Linked DNA regions of Elephas maximus indicus. The protein of the gene in region 2 purifies or fractionates together with the protein of the main gene of each other region. This does not show direct contact. Links are inferred from orthologs where the notes say so. Each region holds a gene or a part of one and is shown on either strand. Other genes may lie near its edges.

What was found.
Region 1: the proteins of FAM117B (region 2) and DYRK1A purify together in Homo sapiens (affinity purification with mass spectrometry; 8 studies listed by BioGRID and IntAct, counting the BioPlex papers as one, with this or other methods). This does not show direct contact. The link is inferred for Elephas maximus indicus from reciprocal best matches to the Homo sapiens genes FAM117B and DYRK1A.
Region 3: the proteins of FAM117B (region 2) and DYRK1B purify together in Homo sapiens (affinity purification with mass spectrometry; 3 studies listed by BioGRID and IntAct, counting the BioPlex papers as one, with this or other methods). This does not show direct contact. The link is inferred for Elephas maximus indicus from reciprocal best matches to the Homo sapiens genes FAM117B and DYRK1B.

What each region holds. Positions count from the first base shown.
Region 1 is NC_064820.1:219,102,260-219,112,016, reverse strand, and holds the start of DYRK1A (dual specificity tyrosine-phosphorylation-regulated kinase 1A), read right to left. Parts: upstream 4,102-9,757; 5' UTR 4,011-4,101; intron 1-4,010. UniProt on the Homo sapiens protein: Dual-specificity kinase which possesses both serine/threonine and tyrosine kinase activities. Exhibits a substrate preference for proline at position P+1 and arginine at position P-3.
Region 2 is NC_064824.1:101,402,342-101,412,163, reverse strand, and holds the start of FAM117B (protein FAM117B), read right to left. Parts: upstream 4,954-9,822; 5' UTR 4,930-4,953; coding exon 4,137-4,929; intron 1-4,136.
Region 3 is NC_064829.1:111,687,386-111,697,565, forward strand, and holds the start of DYRK1B (dual specificity tyrosine-phosphorylation-regulated kinase 1B), read left to right. Parts: upstream 1-5,448; 5' UTR 5,449-6,300; coding exon 6,301-6,379; intron 6,380-7,668; coding exon 7,669-7,832; intron 7,833-8,857; coding exon 8,858-8,977; intron 8,978-9,071; coding exon 9,072-9,260; intron 9,261-9,599; coding exon 9,600-9,747; intron 9,748-10,180. Other genes in the region: FBL (rRNA 2'-O-methyltransferase fibrillarin), read left to right, coding at 1-133, 240-344, 433-527, 1,571-1,741, 2,409-2,541, 3,591-3,703, 4,811-4,956, 5,046-5,070.

The DNA.
Region 1 (9,757 bases), on a different chromosome or scaffold from region 2:
ATTACCAGTATGAACCTTAAATTATCTTAGTCATGTGCAGTCAATATTTCACGTTTACATACCCAAGGCTAAACTTTACAACTCTAGCTTAAAACTATAGCATTGACATAAGACAAGATTTCAAAAGAAGAATCCTTTATTTGGGGGCACCTGAGGAGAAGTTTCAGGTAATTTAAATTACTTTGATGGTTTTTCCAAGTATTTAAATGCCAATTTTCACTCCAAAATAATTTTAATCCAAAATTATTCAAGTCTTGTGTTAAGAATTACTATAATTTCTCTAGCCACCACAAAACTGCCCCCAACAGCCATGATAAACCAAAAAAAACACACCCAGTGCCGTGGAGTCGATTCTGACTCATTGTGACCCTAGAGGACAGAGCAGAACTGCCCCACAGAGTTTCGAAGGAGCACCTGGCGGATTCAAACTGCTGACCCTTGGGTTAGCAGCCATAGCACTTAACCACTACGCCACCAGGGTTTCCACAGTCATGATAACACATGGGAAAAAAAATAAAGAGCATAACTACTATGTACACATAAGGTGCTATTACACAAACCATGCCATTCATTTTGATAGGGCAAGCTGTTAGTATTAAGTTTCAAGTGACCATGTTTCATAGTTTCAAGTAATACCATTACTTCTACATACAAAATTTACAAGTGTGTATGGAGATAAAACCACTAAAGCACTCCTCAACAGGAAAGAACCTTAGATCACAGTTTAAATTACTGATAAGGCATACAACAAAATTACAAGACAGGTAAAATTTCTGGAGTGAGGAGCAAAGTTCCTTATGAAGACTGTTTCTGGAAGAGTTTGGGTTCTGCTGGGTTTGGATGGTTAGGGCTTCTCTTGGGGTGAGGGAATTGGGCTGAGTGTATATGCAGGAGATGGGGAAAGCTCTTTTAAGAGAAAAGCTAAGGGCAAAGCAAAGAAAAAGTGATACACATCGTATCACAAATACCAAGGGAGTCACAAATTACCAAGCCCTCAGGCACTGGGTTATCTTCTACCAGTCTTATTTTTAAAGTCATAAAAGAGGCATGGAAACCCTGGTGGCATAGTGGTTAAGAGCTATGTCTGCTAACCAAAAAAAAGGTCAGCAGTTCGAATGCCCCAGCCGCTTCTTGGAAACCATATGGGGCAGTTCTACTCTGTCCTATAGGACCGCTAGGAGTTGGAACTGAATCGACAGCAGTGGGATTTTTTTTTTTTTTTTTTGGTTTTTATACAAAAGCAATTCCTTTCTCACCCACAGTAAATTTACTTCTATCCAAATTTTCTTCCCACAACTAGATACTTGCCAAACATAAGCATGCATGTGAAAACACCTATAGGCAGTCTCAATTTCTAAACTATTTCTTAAAAAAAAAAAAAAAAAATGGTTTTCAATTACTACCCAAGATTCAATGCAAATGAGCATTTTTCTTTCTTGGTGTGGTTACTAAACAAAATGAGTGCCAATAGTCATTTTAGACATGTTCATAACAAGTTATTCCAATTTCACTTTTCCAGATATTCATAGAACTATAAAAATCCATGGAAATTCTTCAAATACAATTTGTTCTACTTACCACTCCCCAGTTTACCCCATATCTATAAGTCATAAATACAATGAACTCACAATAAAACCAAGGAACAGGCTTCAGGCAGTATTATCGAGACTAAAAAAATTCTAACCAAGGGTCTTTTTTACTATCCACACTTCCAAACAAGACACTGCACTAAAATGGAATATTTCCACTTATTTTGAACGACAGTGCACCTAAAAGACTGGATTACTTGTTAATTTTTAAATGCACAGTACAATAACTTTATTAAATTTCTAACAGGTCCCATCGAAATGTCTTCAAAATACCTTAAGAAACCATCTTATTCCTAAATTTCAAAATCCTAAACAATTTAACAATAACAGAGATCTCACCAGATCACTTAGCCCACCCCCACCCCTACCATTCAAGTCTATTCCTTCAAATCTAAAATCTTTTTTAAACACCACCAGAAATAAGAGTATGCCTTCGCCTTACAGACACAAGGGAAGACCCTTCTAGAATAATTTTTGAGCTCATGCCTCCCTGAGGTAAACAGGAACTTTTTTATGCCCAGGTTTACAACAGAACACAGTGTAGACACTGACAAGAGTCCTAAGCTCTCCAGCTAGGTTTGAAGTCTAAATAATTTGGACAGCTACCGTAAACACTACTGTTACTTCAAGGCAGATCCTTCAAAAGTACTGGGATACATTAAAAAGCTTAACTATAATCAAGCAAATGTTTTTCTTAACTGCTGTTTCTTTAAAACTATCTTCAATTTAAAACCCTAGTACATGAAACATTAATCCTAGTCTCACATTTAGTCTATCTGAAAATATTCTTTTAAAGTAATGGAATAACCAAATGAGAAATTTAAGAAAACAAAACTTAAAAATAATTTTACTTATTAAAGTACCCAAAATCAAAGTACTAATTATATTCATTTTTAGACACTTTAGATGTGTAAAATGTCACAGAAAAAATCCAAAATATTTATTTAAATATAAAATATCACCAAAAATAACTTCACACAAAACTTTATGACTCATCAATACTTAAATGATGCCTATAATTATCAAGAACACCACACACCTAAGAATACTTTTTAATTCCTTCCATTCTAAAACTAATTTTCTTGAAAAAAAAACTGACAAGTTTCATCAAGAGGACCTCATGTCAACCTTTCCCTTCCACTTCCACAAACCACAAAATCAATCCCATTCTAAACACTATAAAGAGAGACAATCTCTACGTTAGAATCCTGAGTCATTACACACAAATGGTTCCAAAATTTGCCAGTATTCATAATGATTTACAATAACACGGCGGTTAAGAGCACAGGCTCGCTACAGACTCCATGCTCCCGCTGTTTGACCTTGGACGTGTCACTGCCCTTCTGTCGGCTCAGTTTCCTCATCTGTAAAATGGGCAGCAGTTCCTCCTGGCCGGATCAGCGAGGTAATAACATGTAAAGCCCAGAGAGAGGCACCTGGCACTACTCGTCCTCATCTTCAACTCCGTGTAAGAATAACGTTATAACGTATCTTTCCTGACAACTCGGGCAAAACTCAATAATCAAGTCGTGCTGGCACTCAAGCGCTATACGGACATCACAGGGTTCCTATAACCTCCGGGTGGATGAAAACCACAGCCAAGAAGTCAGAGGCACTCACTCGCTAATTTTTCTATTTTTTAACTATTTCAGAATATGGAGGAGCCTTTTGCTAAGTGTGGAGATAAATATTCAGCAGAAATGTGAGTTAGAGTCTATAAATAGCTAAGTGAAGTTATGTCGTAAAACACAGGTATCAATTATAATTCACGTCTTCCCAGTCACCAACTCCTCCAGCTGCTGAATAGGGCATTACTGCATCTCGAGTGGCCGGATTACTTGCAGTCACTGCACAACTTCAGAACACGCCGAGTCCCACTCCCTCCAGCACCGACCCCAACGGGTTGTGAGGGATCGGGCTCCCGACGTTCCCGGCGCCCAACCTCGGCTCCGCCGTCCTCGCCTCGCCCAGCACCAGCCCCATTTTCTTAACCCAGGCATTGTCCTTGCTAAGAACCCCGGCGGTTCCCACACTGGTGGGGACCAAGAGGAGGGACGAGGGAGGAGCTGGGGGAAGAGGATGAGGAGGAAGAGGAGGAGGAGGAAGACAACCTCCTCCCCTCGGCTCGGGCGACCAGTAAAGGTCTGGCGCTTTCTCCGGCCCCTAAGGCCCCGGCTCCCGAGAGGCCGCGGCCCCCTCCTCCCGCCCTCCGCAACTTTCCCTGCACTCGCACCCGCCTCTCCTCCAAAACCCGGCCTTGCAGCCTCCCTCCCCGGCGGCCGGGCCTGGGCCCGCGGCGCCTCCTCCTAAAATGGCAGGTCCCTCCCTCCGCCCGGCCGGCCTCGGCGCGAGCCCGGCTACAGGCCGCGGGGGGAGCCGAGCGCCGGACCGGGCGGGGCCGCGGCCGGGCCGGACACTCACCGGGACGATGGCGGGGTGCTCGCGCCGCTCCCTCCGGTGAGTCTCAGCCTCGGGCTCCCGCCGCTGCGCTCCCGCCGCGGCCTCCGCAGCCAGCGCCACCCCGGCCGCCTCTCTCCGCCCCCGGCTCCTCGCCCGCGCCGCAGTCTGCTCAGTCTCTCGCCGGCTCTCGGTTCCAGCGGCGCCCGGGGCCGGGGAGGCGACAGCCCCCTCCCCGGCAAATACCGCAGTCCCCGGACCCCGACTCCCGGCGGCGGGGCCGCACGGCCCGGCCCGGCGAGGAGGGCGGCGGCGGCGGCGAGGCCGGGCACCTAGTCGCGGCCGCTCCCGGCTGCTTCTTCCCGAAGAGGATTTTGTAAATCTCACAAAATGGCGCGCGCTCCAAACCTGCGCAGCGAGAAGCGCCGGGGCCCGAGCGGCGGCGGCGGCAGCGGCGGCTTCTCCGCCAGGAGCGCCCGAACCGCCCGCCCCCGAGTGCCCGCACAGACAGACACTCACACACACACTCGCACACACACGCACGAACACTCGTCCTCACACACGCTCACTCACACACTCTCACACTCACACCGGTCCCGCCCGCTCGCCGGCGGCGGCAGCGGCACCAACAGCAGCAGCAGGAACAGCAGCAGCAGAAGCGGCGGCGGCGGCGGCGGCGGCACCCTCACCCCCCGCTCGGGGTGTCCGCTCCCCGCGCCCGACTTGGGCCACGATCGGCAGCAGCAACGGCAGCAGTGTCCCCGGATCCCCCCGCCGCTGTTGCCGCCGCCACCCCCGCCTCACTCCAATGGGGCTTTTTATTATTATTCGGGCGGGAAGCGAAAGGGTTTAAAAAAAAACCAACCAACAAAATGGCGGCGGACCGATCCGGTCGCTATAGCAACTGTCAATCAAAACGCAAAACCCCGGCTGACGTGCTGACGTCCTCCTCCCGCCCCCCGTCCCCGAGCCGGCGGGCGGGGCTTGTTGCTCGGGTAACGGCAGATTCCGTTCCCTCCTTTCCCTCTCCCTCTCCGGCCCCAACCAACCACCCAGCCCCCTCAGGTCACGTGAAGGATAAATTCGGAGCTCGGGCCCGCTACGAGTGTCAGAGGAGGGCGCGTGATTCGCTCGGGGGAGGGAGGAAGAAGAGGGGGGACGGACGGGCTGAGGGAGGAAAGGGGGGCGAGGCGGCGGCCAGCCTGTGCGCGAGCGCCCGCCGCCTCCCGACCCCCGCGCCCGCCGCGCCCGCGCCGACTGCGGCCCTGAGAGCGCGCGCCCTCCCGCTCCGCGCCACCGCCCCCGGAGCCCCGCGCTTCCGCGTCGTGCGCCCGCGGCCCCGCCCGCGCCGGGGGGAGGGGCGCCGATGGGGGAGGGGACCCAGAAAGCCCCCCCGCGGGCGCCCGTCCACGGGGCTCTCACCGCGGTCCGGACGAGGTGTTCGCCTTTATTCCCGGGGCGCGCGGCGGCCGCGTGGGAGCAGCCCGGCGCACACGTCCATGGGTTTAAAGTGTTCTTTGAAGGGCTCGCGTCCCCCCCTCGCCGGAAAATGCCCACGGAGGCCGCGGTGGGGGCGGGGTGGAGGCCGCCTCCGCACTTCAGACATCTCAGGAATTCCGACGCTTCCCCGGAATCAGGGATGTCCCTGCGGCTGACACCTTGATTAAATCATGCCGCTCAGATTTTTAAGGAACCAATACCAACGTTCAAGAATTATGGACGTAGCTGTCATAAAAACTTTTCTAGGCAGTGCACGCTCCGCCCATGCTTCCCCATCTATTTCGAGCCTTCTTTTTTACCCCTCCCCGCTTCTGTGGGTACAGCCTGGCTTCTCCATGGAAATGCCCCTCAGATTAATCCTTTTGTGCTATTACTATGTCCTTGTCGTTCGACTCCTTTTTTTTTTTTTTTTTAATGTACCTTCTCAATTTCCAGATACTTAATTTGCCCACTTACCTTGACAATCAGAACAGTTATTACTATTTTGGCTTGCATTCAGGTTTTGTTTTGCCTGACTAAATATTTCTAGGTGTGCTCCCCAGGCATTAAAACCCAAGCTATGTCATGCTGGCTACTTTGTAATTAGGAGACAGCCACTGGCTAAAAATTGTATTTTGTACCAACCGTAATATAAGGGCCTTTAATGTTCAGCTGAGAAGAGTTTATATATTATTTTGTACCAAAAGTCGCTAATATACTGATTTATTTCTAAGTTCGGTTTTGCCATCTTATGATGGTGATCATATTCGTTTTTTCTTATAGGAGCCTTCAGCTGTTCACAAGTACGGTAGCAACATATAAACAGTATTAGGTGTAAAAAAAAGTATTGTAATAAATACTGATAGCTATCTTATGTATGTGACTCAAGGAAAGATGTTTGCTTAAAAAGATTTGCAACAAATGTTCTGTTTCTACAGTTAGTAGAACATTGACAAAACCAAAAAAAAAAACAAACAAACCAATTGATGCGCTAAGGTAATCATTGAAGTTAGTACAGGCCCTGAAAGAAATCAAATTAAACGTAAAAGAAATTAGGCAAAAAGTATTCAGGCATGTGTATGTTAAGGGTGGTGGGATAATTAGGAAGAAAATGGGCACAGAGGAGTGCAACCTAAAGAGTGTAATCAATGTCGTTGAGTTGTACAGGTAGAAACTTGAATTGGTGAATGTTTTATTGTGTATATTTTCACCACATTAAATAGTGTGTATATTCAGGCAAAAATAGCTTACTTCAGTTTGATTCTTCAGGGTATCAAAAAACTACAAAAGTTCTTCTGGATTGCTGAGTTTTTTCAAAGTTACCCTGGTACTGTAATTAACATCCACATTGTACTTAGTTGTTTTGAAGGAAGAGGTAGTGGCCAAGAGTGTCCTTATACAGATGAGCAATCACTACCTTGGTTTTACCCAAGATCAAATTTCCACTTATACAGCCAACTTCCTCCTCCTTTTCTTGTCCCTGCTCCGTCCCCTTTACATGGTTATGCTTCTGTCTAATCACTTAGGCATTTGTAACCCTTAACACTAAAAAAAAAAAAATTGGCAACAAGTGAATTCCGATTCACAGAGATTCTATGGGACACAACAGAACTGCCCCCACAGTGTTTCCAAAACTGTAAATCTTTACAGAAACAGACTGCCACATCTTTCTCCTGTAGAGCAGCTGGTGAGTTCAAACCACCAACCTTTCAGTTAGGATCTGAGTACTTAACCACTATATTAAATGAGCCAAAATTAATTGCTATGTCAAAGAGTAAAATCTGAGAGTTTGTGAAGTAAAAGCAAGGAGTTTATTGAGGCAAGATACAATTTGCAAATTGGGCAGCACTTCGTTCAGAGAACAAGGCGCTCCATCTTTCTGGGGACAAAATTGAGCTTTTATACACAAAGTTAAAACCAAAAACCAAACCCATTGTCATCAAGTCGTTGTCCCTATAATCCCATAAACATTTCAAAAACAGCTCTTCATATCAGTTAATCTAATCTCAGCCTAAGAGACAATTTTCGAAAAGCATTCTTTCCAAGGACATTGAATTTGTGTCACATGTTTCCTGTAACATTCTAAGCACATTTATTACTTTCCTTTCTGTCTCCCTCCCCTGTTTACTCAGAGTAATCTGGATAAACCCTTTGTTGAGATCCAAGTCCTCAGCCATTTTGGCCTGGCTGAGAGCCTCTGTTTGATTTTAGAAGCTACTTATCATCCCCCTCTTTAGTAATCTGGACAAACCTTTTATTGAGATCTGAGTCCTCAGCCATTTTGGCCTAGCTGAGAGCCTCTGTTTGATTTTAGAAGCTACTTATCATTCCCCCCTTTTGATCAAGAATTTATAGAATTTCTTAAATCACAAAGACCATTATGACAGCCCTTTCTTGTGCATGGTCTTTAAATTGTGCTGTAATATAGATGGCTGCTTTCAAGATTTTAAGGCCCCAGATGCTGCTATGCTTTTACTGAGTAGCCAGGCACCATCTAGTATCTGCACTATGCCATTGCTTAGTCACTCTCCTCCTGAACTGATGGTAAGGGGAGCTTGGAGTAGAAAGGCCAAATTTTTTAGAGGAATATCTCAGCATTACGCAAGCTGACAAACTGCGAAGGCACAAGCTCAAAGTTCCAGAAACTTGAACCTCCTCAATATATATATACTTTGCATAACTTTGGGTCTGGCGGTGTGACTGCAAAAGTTAGATATATAATTCATGATGCATTTAACCAGTCTTATAATTAACATAATGATCAGAAGAATTAGTCAAGTTTCTAATGATGAGCATAACGAAGAACCAATGCCATTGGGTAACCAACTAAAGATATCAAAAAAGGAGAAGAAATTACTACAAAGAGAAATATAAAACTTAAGTGGACTTTCATGTTGAATAAAATTACTAAGGAATAAGGCCACAAGTATGGAGTAATGCTAGCAGCATAAGGATAGCTACAATTATAAAACAAAGGCCACAAAGTTGAGCAAGATGCATGGAATCTTGTTCTGTGATCTTAGGATTAGCTGCCTACCTTGGATGTCCTCTACTTCTGGCCTCCAGAGTGTCTCAAGGTGATTTTTAGCTTTAGAGGGCTAGCTGGTCTACAGAGGCAGCATGGACTTTTTTCAGTTGTGATAGATGGATTCAGGGTTTGACTCCTAGTTTTGGGGGCACACGAGTTGGTGAGGAAGTCTAGGTATGGTCCCTTTCAATGGGGTTCTAATGGGTCCTTGATTAGTACCTTTTCTAATAAATGTGTGTATGTATATATATATATATGTATGTATATGCATATATACATATATATAGTCTCCCAGAGTGTTACGGATTGAATTATGTACCCCCCAAAAAATGTGTGTAAACTTGGCTACACCATGATTCCCAGTATTGTGTGGTTGTCCTTCATTTTGTGACCTTATCCAATTGTCCTATGTGTCAAAAATCCTAACTTCTATCATGTTAATGAGGCAGGATTAGAGGATGTTGTGTTAATGAGGCAGGACACAATCTACAGGATTAGGTTGTATCTTGAGTCAATCTCTTTTGAGATATAAAAGAGAGAAGCAGAGAGGAGATGAACCTCATTATTACCAATCAAGAAGAGCCAAGAGTGGAGCACATCCTTTGGACATGAGGTCACTACACTGAGAAGCTCCTAGACCCAGGACTAGATTAATGACAAAGACCTTCCCCCAGAGCTGACAAAGGCAGAAAGCCTTCCTCTGGAGCTGGCACACTGAATTCAGACTTCTAGCCTCTGAAACTATGAGAGAATAAATTTCTGTTTGTTGAAGCCATCAGTATTTCTGTTATAGCAGCATTAGATAACTAAGACATGGGGTAAAGCTAGGTGGATTTTGAGTGTCTGACTTCTGGTCATCAAAGACTTCTTTAACCTGTAATAGTATTTTAATAGTTGAGGTTGAACAATGTGGAGTCAGTATGGGCAACATAAGGGAGGACTATAGGCTTTCAAGTAATTATTCTAGAAAGTAAAACATTAAATGTCAGCAATATTCACATATAAACCTTATAATAATTTTTTGAGTTTACTCGGTCATATGTAGTTAAATTTGGTTCTATGTAATTCTGGATAAGTAGCAGTCTGAAAATCTTGTCACCTTCTATATAAGAGTTCTGGAAATCTTGATTTAGTCTATTTTTGTTGAAATATTTTGGTCAAGTGTTTTCAGTGAGTCAGCACTAGTTTTTTTTTTTTTTTTTTAGCAAAGTAAAACTTATCTGCAGATGACAACTTAAAAATGTCCGCAATTAACTTATTACAA
Region 2 (9,822 bases):
CATAGAGTTTCCAAGGAGCGACTGGTGGATTCAAACTGCCAACCTTTTGGTTAGTAGCCGTAGCTCACCATAGCTCTTAACCACTGTGCCATCAGGGCTCCAAGTACTACCAGTATCTTGCTTTTTATAGGTGAAGTTAACTCAAAACCACTTAGGAAAAAACCACATGCTGTCAAGTCAATTTTGACTCATGACAACCCCATGTGTGTCAGAGCAGAACTGTGCTCCATAGGGTTTTCAACAGCTGATTTTTCAGAAGATCACCAGGCCTTCCTTCCGAGGCATCCCTGACTGGACTTGAACCTCCAGCCAACCTTTAACTTAGCAGCTGAGCATGTTAACCATTTGCGCCAACTAGGGACTACAAAGTTAGCTTGCTAAGGTTAAACAGCCAGTAAGTAAGTGGCAATACCAGGATTTAAACCCTAGCAGTCTGGCTCTAGAACACATACTATTAACCATGTAATACATTCTAAGCTCCTAAGAATATTCAAGGGCATTCCGAAAACATCTTTCTACCTACTTCTTCTGGGGCTCCGTATCTCCCCTCCCCAACATCTTGTGCCCTTTATTTTAACCCATATAAACCAAAACCAAATCAAACCTGTTGCTATCGAGTTGATTCCCACTCATAGTGACCCTATAGGACAGAGCAGAACTGCCCCGTAGGGTTTCCAAGGAGTGGCTGGCGGATTCGAACTGCTTATCCTTTGGCTAGCAGCCAAGCTCTTAACCACTGCACCACCAGGGCTCCAAATATAGTGAAAATTATATTTTCATACCTCTATGATCCAACTACAAAATTATTTTCCACCCTTTCCAACTCCAATCAAAAGCCACCTCCTCAGAACTTCTATACCCATTCCCTACAAATTACACTCCTCTATGAGTCCACAGTGGCATAGTGGTTAAGTGCTATGGCCTGGGAACCACCTGCATTTTTTAACAAGCACTCTCAAGTGCTTCTGATACAGATGAACCATAGACCCATTGTGAAAAAAATGTTCTGACATTCACAGGCCATGTTTTCCCCAATTCAAAATTTCACACAACCGTAGAAACTGAGCCTACACAGGCAATTTATATTACATCCACTAAAACTAGAAAGAAAACTAGTATGACACACAATAGCTAACTTATATATCGTGGTATTGTTCTGAGTATTGGCAGAGCTGGTGGTGCAATGGTTAAAGCACTCAGCTGCAAACCAAAAGGTCTGCAATTCAAACTGACCAGCCGCTCTGTGGGAGAAAGATGTGGCACTCTGCTTCCATAAAGATTTATAGCCTTGGAAACCCTATGGGGCAGTTCTACTCTGTCCTATAGGTCTGCTATGAGTCAAAATTAACATGACAGCAGTGAGTTTGGTTTTGGTTCTGTGTATTTTTCAATTTTCTCTCATTCTCTAATCTTTATCATAATATAGATATTATTATCAACCATTTTACAGCTTGAGGTTTGCAGAACTACATGCAGTAGATCCTTCTCCTCTACAGTAAGGATTACTACATTTTATTGAAACTACAAACTTCCGGTGCTGTTGTCAGCTGCTACTGAGTCTACCCTGACTCATCACAACCCTATGCACAATGGGATCAATCTGTTGTGATACACAGGGTTTTCGCTGGCTGATTTTTTGGAAATAAATCTCCAGGTCTTTCTTCCTAGTCCATCTTAAGTCTACAAGTCTACAAGCTTGGCTGAAACCTGACGAGCATCATAGCAACACACAAGCCTCCACTCACAGATGGATGGTGGCTGTACTTAAAGTGCACTAGCCAGGAATCTAACCCAGGTCCCCCACATGGAAAGCAGGAGTTCTAACACTGAACCACTACTGCCCCACCCCACCCCCCACCCCCACAAACAGGCAGTAACCTTCCTTTAATCAAAAAGGGAGTCTGGTTTTTCCCTTTTTTCTCCTTCCAGATTTGGTCTAACAAAACGCAGCAAATGGTCTAATAGATTCTATGAAGACTTGGAATTTGAAAACACCTCATCCCACACGGCCTAGAATTTCACTAGGATGAAACAAGAATACATTCCTGGGAGGGAAACTATCGGACATTTACACTAATAACAGGCAGTATCCCTTTTCACCCGTAGTTGACAGTCCTGCACTAAAGGAGTATTTTTATTTTTCTGTATTTGCTTTTTTGAGCAGGATTAATTTTACAACACGAACACTCCATGGAATGACAAATCTGGAGGTGGGGAGCTTTGAGAAACATGAGGAGTGGGCACATGAGAAGCCTGGGATCACAGGAAATACAGCCCTCCTGGAGATCAGAGGGAAGGAATGCCATCCTCCATCCACCATCATTTCCAAGACTTAATTCAACCTGGCTCTCCTCAAGCTGCTGCTCTGTTTAGAATGTCAAATAGCTGAGACAGTAGCCAGATTCTGTTATCAGGCTGAGGTCTCCATCTCCTTCCTCCGCCTCGACTGCCCACTTCAGAAGTTCTTCTCTCCACCTGCCATGCTACGTTAGCTCCAGAAGGTCAAAGGCAAACTAAAGCAATAATGTTTTCACCAGATATCTCTAAACAGTTCCTTCAAAAAACTAAACACATGTGATTTTCGTGTGCTCTATATTTTTATATATATTTTTATACTTTTTTTCCTATATATTTTCAGGTTCTGTCTTAAACATCATGAAACTACTTCCTTGACATAACGTAAAAGATACAGACTTTGGAATTTCAACAAGCAGAGTTCAAACCTCAACCTCTCTAAAGACTGTTGTTAGGGTCAAAATGAAATCTTGTATATAAATCATTTAGCATATAGTAAGAGCTCAGTAGGTAACAGCTATCATGGTGTGTGTGTTGGGGGGGTGTGCTCTAGTACTTTTAACAATCAAAGTGGAAAAAAAGCATTTCGCATTCTCAAAAGACTTAAAATAGTATTCTTATGAGAAAAAACTACTGATCACTTTTCAGGAGCAATTCTCTTCAAAAAAGTATTCATTGTCTAAAATCTTTCATAAAATAAACTGTAAGAAAGACATACTACTCTCTCCATTTCCTTGCAGCCACCCTGTCTGTTTTGGTTAGAAAAGTACTTTACTGAATTTTCTGAAATTCTTCTGAATCTTCTGTGTGAAGGTTCTAATGCAAATTCTCCAGAAAGACAACGGTAGTGTACATTGGCAGTATTAATACACAACTAAAAACCACCCATTTCTTTAATCACTAGATTCTCAAAGCAAGGCAGCCAGGTGATAAAATTTTATCCCTTTTCACTTCTCATAGTTTGAATTTCTCCGCTCAGTTATCCTTCCTTATGAATGACTCCATCGGAATCCACATCTCTATTCTGGACTTTTCTCACTAAAGTTCCCGGTACAGAAAGAAAACAAACAAAACAGTTTTTAGATCCCTAAAATAGTAAAAGAGGGAGACAGACTCTGGAATTTGTTTTTGTTTTTTTAAGTAGATATTCAGATAAATGGTTTTAAATCCTAAACGCAAAACCAGTATGTCTGAAATACTCCCAGACGCTGAAACAAAACCCATAAACCATCCAAAGGAATCTTGCTTTTAACTTCCTTCTCACTTCTTGCTTCCCATTTTACCAAGTCTTAGGAAATGCTAAAACGCTGCCACCCTCAAGTCTCCTCACTGATCCAGATCTGCCCTCCTAAGATAATGTCCTTCGTCCCCCAGATCTGAAACTGTTCTGTGGAAGACAAATACCAACACGTAGCAGCAAACACGTAGTATGCTAACATGAACCATGTCACTAAAACAAAGTGACAAACCACTCCTAGTTTCACCCCAACTTGCGGAAGAGAAAAAGAAAAGTAGGCTAAGCGATAGTCAGTGGACAGCCAGGGCGGCCAGGAGCCCGGGTTTATAATTAACACGTATCAGCCCAAGCACAAGGTTAGGGCAGGCACTTCCACGCCCGAGGACCGAAGCGGGCCCGGCTAAGCCATGAATGAGACAGGCGCGGGGCGGCCGGGGCTGCGGCGGGGCCACAAACCCGGGCCCGGCCCCGCCCCCGGCCACACACCCCACCCGGCCCCGCCCCCGGCTGCCCGGGCTCCGCGGCAGCGCCGCAGTCCCGGCGCGGGATCCGCGAGCGCCCGGGACCCTTTCCCGCCGCGAGCCGCCCCCTCGCCGGCACGGACCTGCTTTGCAAACCGGGGCGCTCGGGCTTCTCCTCTCCGGGGAGCTTCGGCTCTGCTCCGGGGATCTCCTCCGGTGCCGGACGCGGGCTGGGGGTGGGGCCAGGCTCACCTCGCCCGTCCACAGGTGGGTGGGCGACGAACAGGGCGACGATACGGTGCCCAGCAGAGGCGGCGGCGGCGGCGGCCGTGGGGGGCTCCCGCGAGCCCCGGACGCGGTGCCGCGCGTGGGGCTGGTGCCCCGCGTGGACGTCGCGGACGCGCCCGTTTGCGTGGCCACCGTGGGGCTGGTGCGCGCGGCCGTGCTCCCGCCGCCCCGCGTGGGGCTTGTACTGCGCGAGGCGGTACGCGGGCCCCCGCCGCCGCCAGAGGGGCCGGAGGCGCCACCACAGCAGCCGCCGTTGTTGCCGCCGCCGCCGCCGCCGCCGCCGTTGTTCCGCGTGGGGCTGCCATGTTGCTGCTGCTGCTGCTTCAGCTGGAACGGAACCGTCGCCCTCATGGGCTGCAGACGACTCCCGGCTCCCCCGACCGTGGCGACCGCACTGCCCCCGAGGGAGCCGGCCGGCGTGGGGGACCCATTGCGCCTCACCCGCTGGGACATGGCTCCCCCTCCCTGGTGACTGGACGAGACGGGGGTTTTGTTGTTGTTGTGTTGCAGGGGGAGGATTCTCGAGGCCGGAGGAAAGGCCCACACGACGGGGTGACGACAACGGATTCCGGGGTGCTGGGGGAGCGCTCGGGCCGCGGCCGGCAGCAACGAGGTGGTGCAGCAGCCGCCGTCGCCGCTCCTCCTCATCAACAATAGTGTCTCCTCCGCTGCCCCCGCCCCCCGCGGCCGCCCATTGGCGCAGCGTCAGCCGCGCTCGAGCCTCTCCACCGCGCCCATTGGCTGCGACCGACTCGGGTCCCGGGCCCCCGGGGCCTTAGAGAGCCTGGGTTTGTGAGGAGACCGTCTGCTCTTTAAAGAGAAAGAGACCCCCCCTCTGGAGGGAAGAGGGAGGCGGAGGAAATGGGCCGTGTGTATGTGTAGTGCGCGCGGGTGTCTGTGTGTATCTGTGTGTACACGTGAGTGTACGCGTACGCGCGCGCCCGGCCACGCACGCCTTTGTCTTTCCCTTTCCACTGGGGGGAGCCCTGGGGAGTCAGATCCTGGGATGTTGTCACAGGGAATCTTCAGAACCAGAGCGGTCCCCAGAGATAATGTGAAGTCTTTCCCCCATAACGTTTCCTTAAAAAAAAAAATTACCACGGTATTAATTGGCAGGGGCCATGTATACATGTCTCTTTCTGGCTTTTTGTCTTGATCTTTTTGTTCTGCCCTAATTCCATCAATGTGTGGACAGGGCTCAAAAGGAGATGAAATTTAATCTTACTAGTATCTGAAGGAGCTCTGGTGGCACAGTGGTTAAAGCGCTGGCTGCTAACGGAAAGGTCGGTGGCTCAAACCCACCAGCCAGCCATTCAGCTGGAGAAAAATGTGGTAGTCTACTTCCATAAATATTTACAGCCTTGGAAACCCTATGGGGCATTTCTACTCTGTCCTGTAGATAGGGTCACTATGAATCTGGATCTATTCCGTGGCAGTACGTTCTTTACTAGTATTTTACACATACACACACACCCTTTTTTCTCTCTCTCTTTTTATAAAGAGGCAAATCTTAGAAAGATTAATATTGCTGATTGGAATGTGGCTTTAGATTGTATCAATGGAGTCCAGATACCAGATATTATTTCTACCTTCCTGTATCTCAAATATTCAAGAATTTATTTTAATCAGCTGCTTCACAGTTCCCTGATACCTTGGAAAGATATCTGCTCCCTTACAAGTTTGTAAAGTGCTAGTATGCAAAGGGCCTTATTTGATTCTCGAAATCATTATTTGAGATAGAACTGGGCCAGCCAACCACATTTTTGTCTAGTGGAGGAAATGGGTCTTTGTGGTAAGGATGAGGACTCAGGAAGGCAGGCAGTGATACAAGTTCTAAAATGACCTAAGGGATATCTCATTAAGACAAAAAAATAGTGGAACTGCACTCTTCACACACCTCTCTGGTTCCACATTCCCTGTCTATGCCCTCTTTTCCCTTTTTATTAGATCTACATTCTACTCAGATTTCACCTTGTAAAAATGTGGGAGTGGAGGGCACACTATGACTCATCCTGGACCTGAAATCTTGGTGGATCCTTATGCACAGTGGTGGAAAGGCTTTGAAGCCCTAGAGAGGAGATTCAGATCACAGATCCAGCACTTGCTCTGTGACCTTTGGTAGGTCACTAGCCAGCTTTCTTTTTTTTTTTTTTTAATAATTTTTATTGTGCTTTAAGTGAAAGTTTACAAATCAAGTCAGTCTCTCACACAAAAACCCATATACACCTTGCTACACACTCCCAATTACTCTCCCCCTAATGAGACAGCCTGCTCTCTCCCTCCACTCTCTTTTTGTGTCCTTTTCGCCAGCTTCTAACCCCCTCCACCCTCTCATCTCCCCTCCAGGCAGGAGATGCCAACGTAGTCTCAAGTGTCCACCTGATCCAAGAAGCTCACTCTTCACCAGCATCCCTCTAAACCCATTGTCCAGTCCAATCCATGTCTGAAGAGTTGGCTTTGGGAATGGTTCCTGTCCTGGGCCAACAGAAGGTCTAGGGGCCATGACCACCGGGGTCCTTCCAGTCTCAGACCATTAAGTCTGGTCTTATGAAAATTTGGGGTCTGCATCCCACTGCTCTCCTGCTCCCTCAGGGGTTCTCTGTTGTGTTCCCTGTCAGGGCAGTCATCGGTTGTAGCCGGACACCATCTAGTTCTTCTGGTCTCAGGATGATGTAGTCGCTGGATCGTGGGGCCCTTTCTGTCTCTTGAGCTCATAATCACCTTGTGTCCTTAGTGTTCTTCATTCTCCTTTGATCCAGGTGGATTGAGACCAATTGATGCATCTTATATGGCTGCTTGCTAACGTTTAAGACCCCAGATGCCACTCTTCAAAGTGGGATGCAGAATGTTTTGTTAATAGATTTTATTATGCCAATTGACTTAGATGTCCCCTGAAACCATGATCCCCAGACCCCTGCCCCTGCTACACTAGCCAGCTTTTTTATCTATAAAATGCAGTTAAACAATACCATCTCCTTCATACAGTTGTTGTGATTATTAACCAGGGTTTAAATGAGAATGTGGTGTGAAGAAGGTGCTCAACACTTCCAGTCTCCATGTGATTCAGAGGTCCATATTGCTGCTTACCACACATTACCCTTTCTCCTCCCCTCTCCTTCACTGCAGAGAGACCCCAAAACACTCACCCCAGGAACCTGCCTTAAGTGGCTGATGCTCTGGATAGTCTTAACATCACTACCAGTCCCTCCAACCTGGAATGAAGACAAAAACAGCTTCTCAGTAGACAGGAAACTGCCAACAAGATCCATGCAGAATGTAAAATGGTACAACTACTGTGGAAAATAGTATGTCGCTTCCTTAAAAAGCTAGAAATAAAAGTACCATATGATCTAGCAGTCCCACAACATCATGGATTGAATTGTATCCCCCCAAAAATATGTGTATCGGTATGGCTAGGCCATGATTCCCAGTATTGTACGATCGTTCGCCATTTTGTCATCTGATGTGATTTTCCTATGTGTTGTAAATCCCATCTCTGTGACGTAGATAAAATGGGATTAGTGGCAGTTATGTTAATGTTGCAGGGCTCAATCTACGAGATTAGATTGTGTTTTAAGCCAAACTTTTTGGATATGAAAGAAGCAAGCAGAGAGACAAGGGGACCTCATACCACCAAGAAAGCAGAGCCAGGAGCATGCATCCTTTGGACCTGGGGTCCCTGCACTAAAAAGCTCCTAGACGAGGAGTAGATTGATGACGAGGACCTTCCTCCAGAGCCAACAGAGAAGAGAAAGCTTTCCCCTGGAGCTGATGCCCTGAATTTAGACTTGTAACCTACTAGACTGTGAGAGAATAAATTTCTTTGTTGACGCTATCCACTCGTGGTATTTCTGTTGTAGCAGCACTAGCTAGCTAAGACAAAATTTGGTACCAGGAATGGGGTTCTGCTCTAGCAGATACCTACAATGTGGAAGCAGTTTTGAAAGTCTGAATGGGTAGAGGCTGGAAGAATTTTAAGATTGCCTGAAGAGACTGTTGGTGGAATTATGGACATCAAAGACAATTCTGGTGAGGACTCAGAAGGAAGTAAAGAAAGCTGTTACTCTGGAGATGGCATGGATGGCAAGAAGCAGCAGCAGAGGACTGGCAGCAGCAGAGGACCAGCAGCAGCAGAGACATAGCAGTGGTATAACCAGGAGACTAGCAGGAGATGGCACTGGAGCCAACCCACAGAGCAAGAGAGCTGAGTACCTTTGGCAGGAAGCTTCCTGGCAGAATGGGTGCCTCCAGACATGTATTGGTGGAACTAGCCTTGCCAATCCCTGGAGCAAGAGAGCTGAGTGCCTTACAGCTGAAGTTTACTGGCAGAGTGGGATGCCTCTAGGCACTTATCAGTGGAGCCACAGAGCTTTGGAACACTTGCCCCAGCAGGGCAGACATGACCAGAGAGGCCCGAAGGGCTGAGAGGCCAAGAAACCAGGAAACAAGCTGAAGAGACAAAGAACACAGGAAGCTGAGCTGCCTCAGTCTCAAAGGGTAGGGCCATGACCTCTGGGGTCTTAAAGGGTGGAGTCGCCACTCAGATGGACTCAGAGAATGGGCTCCTCATACCACCAAGAAAGCAGCACCAGGAGCAGAGTGCATTCTTTGGACCAAGTTTCCTGTGTGGAGAAGCTCCTAGACCAAGGGAAAATTGATGACCAGGACCTTCCTCCAGAACTGACAAAGAGAGAAAGCCTTCCCCTAGAACTGGCGCCCTGAATTTGGACTTCTATCCTCCTAGACTGTGAGAGAATAAATTTCTCTTTGTTAAAACCATCCACTTGTGGTATTTCTGTTATAACAGCACTAGGTGACCAAGACACACTTCTAGGTATATATCCTAGAGGTATAAGAGCCATGACAAGAATAGATATATGCAGCACACCCATGTTCATTGCAGCATTATTCACAATACCAAAAACGTGGAAACAACCTAAATGCCCATCAAAGGATGAATGTGTAAAAAAAAAAAAAAAAACCTGTGGTACGTAAACACAATGGAATACTAAGCAACGATAAAGAATAATGATAAATCTGCAAAACATCTCACAACATGGATGAATCTGGAGGACATTATGCTGAGTGAAACAGGTCAATCACAAAAGGACAAATTGTATGAGACCACTATCATAAAAAGTTCAAAAAATCTACATACAGGAAGTAACATTCTTTGATGGTTACCAGGGATGGAAGGGGGAGAGAGAGAACACCACCAGCTAGATAGTAGACACATGTTAACTTTGATGAAGAGGAAAGCAATATACAGTATGGAGGAAGTCAACACAACATGACCAAGGCAAAGATAGACACTGAGAGGTACAAAAGAATATAAGGCCACTATGCTAAATACTACAACATACACAACTGTGTAACAATAGTAATAATAATTTATGAGTGGATACGTGGGCAGATATGTATGCTGAATAGGTATGAGAGGGCATATGCGAGTACACTCACATGCATACATGGACTTAAGTTGTGGATATTTCAACATACATATTCGTATGTACTGCATGTATAGTCATATACACAATGGCG
Region 3 (10,180 bases), on a different chromosome or scaffold from region 2:
TTTGGTGACCGAGGCGGCTTTGGCGGTGACCGTGGCGGTCGCGGGGGCCGAGGCGGCTTTGGTGGGGGCCGTGGACGAGGAGGAGGCTTCAGGGGCCGTGGTCGAGGAGGAGGAGGAGGAGGAGGAAGAGGTGGTGAGTAAGATTGGTTGGTGTGATGGAGGAGGCTTTCCCTGTACTTGGGGAGCGGGGAGTGAAGAGACCGGGGGCCTCTCTCTCTTACTGCGTCTCTCCTTTATAGGCGGAGGAGGGTTCCAGTCTGGTGGCAACCGGGGTCGTGGTAGGGGAGGAAAAAGAGGAAACCAGTCAGGGAAGAATGTGATGGTGGAACCTCACCGGCATGAGGGTGAGTGAGGAACGGAGGGAAGCAGCTGAGGGGTGGGGCGGAGTGGTGGGGTCCCAGTCCTCACCCTTGTTCTGATCCCCACACCCAGGTGTCTTCATTTGCCGAGGAAAGGAAGATGCACTGGTCACCAAGAACCTGGTCCCTGGAGAATCAGTTTATGGAGAGAAGAGAGTCTCAATTTCGGTGAGACGCGGGCCCCTGTCCAAGGCACCAGGGCCCCAGCTGTTGGTGCAGCCAGCTGTCTGGTCTCCCTGCTTCTGCACCACACCCCATAGCCGTGTGTCTTGCACTTGACAGCCAGGCAATACTCCTAATACGTGAGTCAGGCCTCACACGCCTCTCCTCACATGCCTTCTGTGACTCACGATTGCCACCATGTCATAGTCCCAAGTCCTTACTGTGGCCCTGTGTGTTCTAGCTCCCCTCCACAGCCCTTGGTCTCTCATCTCCTCCCCCTGTCCCTGACCAAGTGCCCTCCAGCTGCACTGATATGCTATTCCCTCCCGCCGGCAGCTCTGCTCGAGGCTGGCACCGGCTCATCATTCGCGACTGTGGTCAAGTCACCTGTCTTTCTGACGGATCCTAGTGTCCCTTGCCATTTCCTTTATGGCCAGGCGCTCTCCTGCCTCAGTGCTTCCCGCCTGCCTCCCCTCTCCCTGGAATGCTTTTCCCCAGATAGCCTGACCGGCTCCTCATCGCCTTTAGGGCTGACCCAGACACCTTCTGCACAATGCACCTTTGGCTCCCCTTTCTCGTTTTCCCCTTCCCTTGCCCTACTTCCTATACTTCATGTCTTCTTCCCGGCTTTGTCCTCTCTCCTTTTCACCTGTCACCATCTTACTGTGCCAGGTGTTTTTTTTTTTAATTTAGTTAGCTCCTTGTATACTTACTCTTTGAGAGCAGGGATCTTTGTCGTGTTCACTGTTGTATTCCCAGTGCCTAGATCAGGGGCTGGCACGCAGCACAGTAAGCGCTTGCTGAGTGGTTTTGCAGGCCTTACCAACCTGAGACAATCTCGGTATCTCTGTGTTTATCGTCTCTTGCCACCCCATCTCCCTGAGTTGTTAACTCCACAGTTGCATCTGTCATGGCCACTGCTGCATACCCACATTCATCACTTGCATAGTCATTAAACGCCCAGTCGCTTTCAAGGCCCCAGGGTAAGGGGCGTGGGGCCTCAGGGAAGAGCCCAGCACTGATTTCCATCCCCGTCTCTCCTGGTCCAGGAAGGAGACGACAAAATTGAGTACCGCGCCTGGAACCCCTTCCGCTCAAAGCTGGCAGCAGCGATCCTGGGTGGTGTGGACCAGATCCACATCAAGCCGGGGGCCAAGGTGCTTTACCTTGGAGCTGCCTCAGGCACCACTGTCTCCCACGTCTCTGACATCGTAGGCCAGGTAAGTGGTGAGGCGGGCAGAGGGAAAGGCTGCCTCCTGTTGGCACTATTGTGGAGTCAGGCATGGGCGCTTCCCCGCACTGTGCATGGAGCCAGGCCCTGCCCTCTGACAGCGCCTGTGGGTAGAAATGGCTGCTTGGATTAGATGGCCACCAAAGCCTCATTCAGCCACACTCCTGGGTTCTTAGCCTTGAAGGAAGGGGTGTGGGAGTCAGGGCAACCAGAATAAAAGGGGCCCAGAGCTGGAAGTGTAGATAATCAGATGAATTGATTGGTCTCTTTAAAAATTCATGCTCCCCCCAATCTGCTTCTCCAGTTTCTCTTGATAGAACAAGAATTCTGACGCTATTGGGCTGCATTGCAGTGTGTGGGTACAGGCTCCATCTAGAGGCCCCTGTACATCTCACTTCATGGCCTCTGCTCAGTCACATGGTTGCAGGCAGTGTAATGTCGAGCTTGGCCACTTGCTGAATAGCCCTTGAGCATTGACTTCATGCCTCTGGACCTCAGTTTACTTGTCTATAAAATGGGCACGATAACAGTAGTCATTTAATGGTAGGGTTTGATTTTGGGGGATTTGAAGAGATGCTGCATGCAGCGCGTGGGTCCCAAGTAGGAGTTCCGTAGATGAGAATTAGTATCGTTTGTTATCACTTGATTTGTCCTAGGATGGTCTGGTCTATGCAGTTGAGTTTTCCCACCGTTCTGGACGTGACCTCATCAACCTGGCCAAGAAGAGGACCAACATAATCCCTGTCATTGAGGACGCTCGGCACCCGCACAAATACCGCATGCTTATTGGTGAGGGCTCTGGCAGTGGCCCAGGTCGGGTAGGACAGGCTCTTCAAGAGCCAAGTTTTCTGGGAGAGATCATCTGAGCCCTGATTCAGATGGAGTGGACGGACAGGCCTCTTGAGTCCGCAGGAATGACAAGGGGTGAGGGAACTGGGTGAGATTGCAGAGGTGGCGGCCCAGCTTCAGGGTCTGGCCTCTCCTCTCTCTGAGCTGCCCCTCCTTGTGCTTCGCACCTCCTTCCAAAACATGGTACCTTTATACCGCCCCTCTTTGTGTATAAACATGGTGCTTTTATACTGCCCCTCACCTGTGACTAAAAGCGCCCTCCAGGGGCCTCCTTGTCTGGTGAGGTCATAACCATAAAACACCAGCTGGGCATGGACCTGACCCGGAGGGGCCTGGTGTGAATATTGACTTCGTTTAAAAAATTCAAAAGAGGTCATTGATGAGAACAATTGGGTACGTGCTTTTCCTGATTCTTCAGAGTCAGTTTTCATTACACCACCTTTTCAGTTTTTTAAGTGTTGTTTTTTCTGTTGCTGTTGTTTGTTTTAAATCACACTGGTTTAAAAACATTACTTTTTCATTCCCTTGTTCTTCTTTCTTTTCCTTTTCCACACACCCATACCATGCCCCTGTCCTGCAACTTTTCATTGACAATGCTGCAGACGCCCTTGCCTGTCAGTGTTCACCTTCACTTGCCTTTTTGATGACTTGTGTGTCCACCTCCCCTACTGCCCCAGACCCAGGAGCGTTTCAAGGGCAGTGCCAGGGTCTAACTCGTCTCTGTGCCCCCCACGCCCAGCCTGGGGCTGGTCACAGAGTAGGTGGCAACCATGGTTTACAAGAGTAGAGAATAAGTGATGTGACCGTGGGTTTTGGACCCACCTTGGGGGCACTAGGGCGGGGGGAGGGGGAGTCAGTGGCAGGGGAGTGAGACTGGAGGCAGGGAAATTGCCAGGTACCTGCTGGCAATGGGGCATAGGCCCCAGGGGGGGATGGGAAGATCTCCCTGTGGGCCCAACATTTAATAACTGCCATTCCTCTCTCCCTAGCAATGGTGGATGTGATCTTTGCTGACGTGGCCCAGCCTGACCAGACCCGGATTGTGGCTCTGAATGCCCACACCTTCCTGCGTAACGGAGGACACTTTGTGATTTCTATTAAGGTGAGAGTCTTGTGGAAGTCTAAGATGAGTGGGAGCATCCCAAGGAGTCTTCCGTGTCTGACAAGCAGCCAGTCAAAACAAAGAGGCCTGCCTCCCCTCTAATCCAGTCAGTCCATTCCCAAACTCTGTTCCTATGCTGGCTTCCCACTCCCCATGAAATAACACGTAGTATAAAAAAAAGTCCGTAAAACTAAAAGCTTTGTATTTTAAGAGGTAATAGAGTATAGTGGTCAAGGGCATGGTTGCTGAGTTTGAATCCCACCATGCTGTGTGACTTGGAGCAAGTCATTCACCTCTGTGTGCCTCTGTTTGTTCATGTGTAGAACAGAGATGTTAGTCTTATCTGTTTTAGGGCTGACGTCAGGATTAAATGTATCAGTATCTGTGAAGTGTACAGACAGAGCCTGGCGTTGAATAAACACTAGGCAAATCTAAATGTTAGGTGCATTTTTTAAAACTTTTTATTCTGAAATACAGAGAACTCTGCTGTGGACCCTTTACTTAGACTCACCATTTGTTACCCTTTTCCTGTATTTGTGTTGTTCTCAAAGCTGTATTATTACTCTTTTTTTAATGGAAGAAGGAAAAAAGCTGGGGTATAAAACTTAAAGCTGGCTTTTAGGTAAACAGGGTTTTGTTTAAAGCCTTGGGTCCAAATTCAAACAAACTACATAGCAACCCTGTAGGACAGAGTAGAACTGCCCCATAAAGTTTCCAAGGAGTGCCTGGTGGATTTGAACCACCAACCTTTTGGTTAGCAGCTGTAGCTCTTAACCACTGTGCTGCCGGGGTTTCCTAAATTTGTTATATAACGGAAATTTTCCCCACGTTTCCAAAACCCTGCCATACACCACAAAATTCAGACCGGTTGCCATTGACTCCGACTCGTGGTGACTCCACGTGTTTCAGAGTAGAACGCACTCCATGGGGTTTTCAGTGGCGGTGATCTTTTTGCTGCAGAACAGTCAGAAATGATACTGGGGTTTTGTTTGGGGCCTGATTTTACCCCGTTTCCATCGGAAACAAGTCCCTGTGGTTGAAAGAGCACAAAAAAGGGGAAACCAGCCCGCAGTCCTGCGGCGGACTCGATTCCGTCTCCTCCTGTAGGCCAACTGCATTGACTCCACAGCCTCTGCAGAGGCCGTGTTTGCTTCTGAAGTGAAGAAGATGCAGCAGGAGAACATGAAGCCCCAGGAGCAGCTGACCCTCGAGCCATACGAAAGAGACCACGCTGTGGTCGTGGGTGTGTACAGGTGAGCAGGGCCCAGTCACCCACCGGATCGTGCAGCTCAGGGCTCCGGGGGCAGGCTATGACCCCTCGTTTTCTCTCTCCCTCTCACAGGCCGCCCCCCAAAGTGAAGAACTGAAGCCCGGTGCTGTCTGCATTGTGAGATAGTGTTGTTGCTGTTGCACGTGTGTTTTTCTATTAAAAAGACTCATCCGTCACCTCAGTTGGCTGCTGGTCGCTCTGTGGCTGCCGCTGTAGACAACTTGGCGCATGCGCCCATGGTCACCTCGTTGGGGGCGGGGGCATGCTCATCTGATCACACAGCGCATGCTCCATTTCTAGCTGCCCTCTCAGGGAGCCCTGGTGCGCAGCCGTAACCCGGAATTCGGCGTTAGGTGGGGTCGGTGGCTCACTGCGCATGTCTGCGGGTAGTGCCCACTGGGCGCAGGCGCGGAGGGCTGCGCTGGTCACGTGAGGGGGAGCGGATGGGGGGGTGGGGGCGGAGTCTGGAGGGGGGCCGGTTTGTTGTGGTCGCCATTTTGCTGGTTGCATTACTGGGTAATCGGGGCCCTGGCTCGCCGCGTCCGACGGGTACCTTCAGCCAGTGGGCAGGTCTGAGCTCGGGCTTCCCGAGCAACTTGAGTCCCCTTGCCCGCGCCCTCAGGTAACGACGCAGTGACTGGCTGGGCGGCACGAGCTGGCGGGGAGGGGGAAGGGCGGGACCCGCCCTGCCCGCGTCGCCTCGAGACTGAGCACAGGGACGCGGGAGGAGGAGAGGAAGGGAGGGGGAATCGGGCTGGTGTGCCAGCCGAGCCTGGCTATTCATAGTCGGATTCCTGGAAGGGGCTGAACCGAGGGAGCAGTCTTGGAAGGGAGGTCGGGAAGGGGTGGCTGGGCCCCGCTCCCGCCCTTTGTTTGGGCTCAGCTCCGCCGGCCGCATCGTCGTCGCCTAGCAACAACTGCCCTGGGCTGTGATTGGTTGAGCTCGTAGCAGCGGTGGCCAATGGTACGGTTGTTGCCATGGCAGGGTGCGGACTGCCAAACTCAGTCTTGCCCCGCCCGCTGGGTCTCTGCAGGCGGGGCGGGCCTCTAGGGTGGGGGGCGGGACGCCAGGGTCCCCAGGGGCGGGTGGCCGCCCGGGGTGGGGTCGGCCTTGCGAGGGTTAACCCGCCCTTCCCCCCATCCACCTGCTTTCCCTTCCCCCGCGTGCCCCGAGCTGACCCTCGTCCCCTCCTCTCCCCGCCCCTGGCGGCGGCTGCTGTTGTCACCCACCGGGCCGCCTGTCCCGCTTGCCCTCCCCGCCGCGGGGCCTGCCGGGCCGCCCAGGCCAGGGACAGGCGGCCGCCTCCTCACTGCCGCCACCGCCGCCATGCTGGCCGTCCGCCCGCCTCACTGGGGGCCCCACCGCGCTCCAGCCCCCCGTGGGCCGCGCACCAGCCCTGACGCGGGTAGGGGTTGGAGGGCCCCGGGAAAGAAGTTGTTTTGGAGGGGGAACCTTTAGGGAGGGAAGCTTCAAGAGACGGGGTGTGTTCATGGAGTGGCAAGGCCTGGGATAGGAGGACACCTGACATGGTTAGACTTGGGGAGAGGGACTTTGGTTTGTCGGACCCCCTGGAACACCCTGCAGTATTTGGGGAATTGAGCTTTGGGAGTCTCCTAAGAAGGGGCATCGCTGTGGGATGACCCCAGTATAGAAAGAGGTGACAGGAGATGGGGCTCCAATGGGAACATTGGGTAGAGGGAGGATTCATTATAGAGGAGAGAAGGAAGATCATCGTAAGCCACTGGAAGAGACACCTCCTCCTTGTTCCCCTCAGGAGAGCGGGCCTTGATTGGGAGGGGGACTTTGCAGCAATGTGGGGAAGAGTTCTGATGTGGTGGGAGGAACTGGGATACGGTGTAGGGAGACTATCTGGAGGAGTGTTTCCTGATGTGGGAAGGCCTACAAGGGGAACAGATCTCAGCATGAAGTACTGAGGGTCTGCTGGGAAAGATGTGCCCTGGCGGGCTGCCACAGAGATAGGACTTTTGTGATACAGTTTCTCAGATAATCTTGGTGTGGTTGGGAGGTCTCCATAGGACCCTGATGTGGATTTGAGGGACCTGCAGAGGACACTACTGTGATTTAGGGGAACTCAGAGGACTCTGGTGTGGTTTGGGTGGACTTCAGAGTTCTCTGGATTGGGGGAGCTACTGGGAACGGTAGATCTTGTAGTGAAGGGACCTTGCTGTGATAATGGGATGAGATCCTGATGGTTGGGGAAGATTATAAGGGGGCAAGATTTTGCGGAGGGGGCCCTGGGGAGGGCCCAAGTAGAAATGGAACGAACAAACCCTACTCCCCATACTGTCTTTAGTTTCTTTTTTTTTTTTCTCTTTTCCTCCCCTCCATTATCCATGTCTTTTTGTTCTCCTTCCCTGTTGTGGCCTATACACCCCCACCACCACTCCCTGCTCTTGCATCGCTCCTCCCCGTTCCTTTTGCATGCCCTTGTCTTTGTTCCACGTCATTCACTTACTTGGTCATTTGTTGAGGGCTTCTGTTGTGTAACCCCTTTCCACCTGTCTGCTACTGCTTTCTGTCTCTTCTCTTCATCGCCACCTGTGTTCTGTGGTACCCTTTTCCTCCTCCGTTTGAGTCCCTGCCTTCTGTCTGTGCCCACCTCTTTCCTGCCTGCCACTATCCCACATATTCTCTTGTTCCATGTTGTTCCCCTGCCTCCTTGCCTTCTCCCAGGTCTCAGCGGCGGTGGCAGCCGAGGTGCAGGATGCGAGAAGGCGCCCCCCGGCCGGGCTCCCGCTCCAGGCCTCGCTCCCCTGCGGCCCTCTGAGCCCACCATGGCCGTCCCACCGGGCCATGGTCCCTTCTCTGGCTTCCCGGGGCCCCAGGAGCACCCGCAGGTACGCGTTTGGCTGGCTCCTTACCTGCCTGGGGTCGGGGATACTGGGGAGAGAAAGGTCTCAGGGCAAAAGAAACAGTATGATTGCCTGACAGTCTCCTTAGGGTGTCAGGGCCCCATTGGGAGTGAAAGTTAATAGAAGAGGCATCGGCAGAGTTAAGGTATGAAGAATTCAGTCCATGTCTTGACTTTGTAGTTAAATTACTTATGTCCCGTACACTTCAGTTTTGTCATCTGTAAAATGGGGCCGATAATGATGATATCTGTCTCACAGGGTTGTTGTGAGGATTAAACAAGTTAATGAAATGCGTGTGCGATGGTAAGAACAGTGTCTGGCACGTAGTAAATACCAAATATTCACTAAGGAAAAAAGTCCTGAGTGAAAGATCTGGAGGGAGTGGGTGGGGAGGAGGGCTGAGACTGAAGGGCTTGGGGACCATCAGGATAAAGACCTCCAAGGGTAGAGGTGGCTGAGGCTCTGGAATGTAGAGCTTGAGCAGGATGGAGTGGGAAGTCTAGGCTGCAGGACCCAGATTCAAGATCCTTGTGAAAGAACTAGGTACAGATGCTCAGTGGGGGGTAGGTGTTGGGGGAGCCCCAGTGGGTGAAGGTAAAGCAAAATGGGGGGAGGGGGACCCAGACTGGGATATCTAGATGGAGAGTCTCAGACTGAAGGATTGGGGGACAGAGGCCTAATTTCCCATATGATCTTTCCCATTGACTCTGAAAGCAATAAAGTTACGGGGTAAAAGGTCAGGGGTAAATAACCATTCGTTCACTCCACAAATCCCTATTGAGCATCCACTGTGTGCCAGGCCCTGCTCAAAGCACTGGGGTATAGCAAGAACAAGACAAAGTCTCTCCCCTTGTCAAGTTTATATTGTAGTGGGCGAGACGGACTATGACCAAATAAATTCCTGACTAGGGGGTTCTGATGAGCCAGTTGCCCATATGGTTCTCCCCCTTGGGGTCAGAGGTAAAGGATTTTGTCTGTTCTCAGTGCCCACCTGACACCCCACCCTGTAGGTATTGCCTGATGTGCGGCTACTGCCTCGGAGGCTGCCCCTGGCCTTCCGAGACGCGACCTCAGCCCCACTGCGCAAACTCTCTGTGGACCTCATCAAGACCTACAAGCACATCAATGAGGTGGGCAGAGGTGGGGAGCCCCAAGCAGGGGACCGGGGGGCCCTGGCCACTGATTCCGGTTGCTCACTGGTCATCTGGTCGCCTGGCTGGGCAGGTATACTATGCGAAGAAGAAGCGGCGGGCCCAGCAGGCGCCGCCTCAAGACTCAAGTACCAAGAAGGAGAAGAAGGTCCTGAACCACGGTTATGACGATGACAACCATGACTACATCGTGCGTAGTGGCGAGCGGTGGCTGGAGCGCTATGAGATTGACTCACTCATTGGCAAGGGCTCGTTTGGCCAGGTGCGGGACACCATACCCCCCCCGGGGATTGGGGTGCGTGGGGACCCACTGACAGTGGCCCACACACCCAGTGGCTTCAAGAGCACTGGGGCCATTCACCCAGGCCCAGTCACTTAGTTTCCCTGTGCCTCATTTTCCTTTTCTGTAAAATGGCACAAATAACAGGACTTAACCACATAAAGTAATTTCATACCTTCTGTCTATATCGCTGCCTAACTGATAGTAAGCACTCAAGTGTAAATGCGTAGTGGTAGTGTTGGTGGGTCCTCTTGGTTGGAGGGAGAAGAGTTGCCTGGCTGTGCCCTGTCGCCTGAGCCCTCCCCGTCTTGTGACACGCAGGTGGTGAAGGCCTATGACCATCAGACCCAGGAGCTGGTGGCGATCAAGATCATCAAGAACAAAAAGGCCTTCCTGAACCAGGCGCAGATCGAGCTGCGGCTGCTGGAGCTGATGAACCAGCACGACACGGAGATGAAGTACTACATCGGTGAGGCCTGGGGGCGTGGGGGCTGGTTAGGGATGGGCCAGCTCCCTGTACCGCACGCGGCTGGTGTCTTCAGGGCAGGGCTCGGTCTGTGCTGCTGCTCTCAGTCATCTGTCGCTATCATTTGTTTCCCTGCGTCAAGTCACGTGATAACGATGGCCAGAGTTCACTGCGTGCTCACTAGGGGCCAGGCTCTGGTGTAAGCATTTTGCATAAATTAAAGGGGAGGGGCAATTATTGCCCACATTTTGGAGGTAAAAAAACGACTGAGGCATACAGGTACTGTCACTTGCATGATGGCAGTTTGTACTCAGCAGATAGAAAATTGGACCAGGCAGTCAGCTCCAGAACCTTTACTCTTAACGCCTGTACTAGCCGTCTTCCTCTCTCCCTTACGTTCTTCACAGAAAAAGCAAGTGGGTTTAAAAATAAGGGG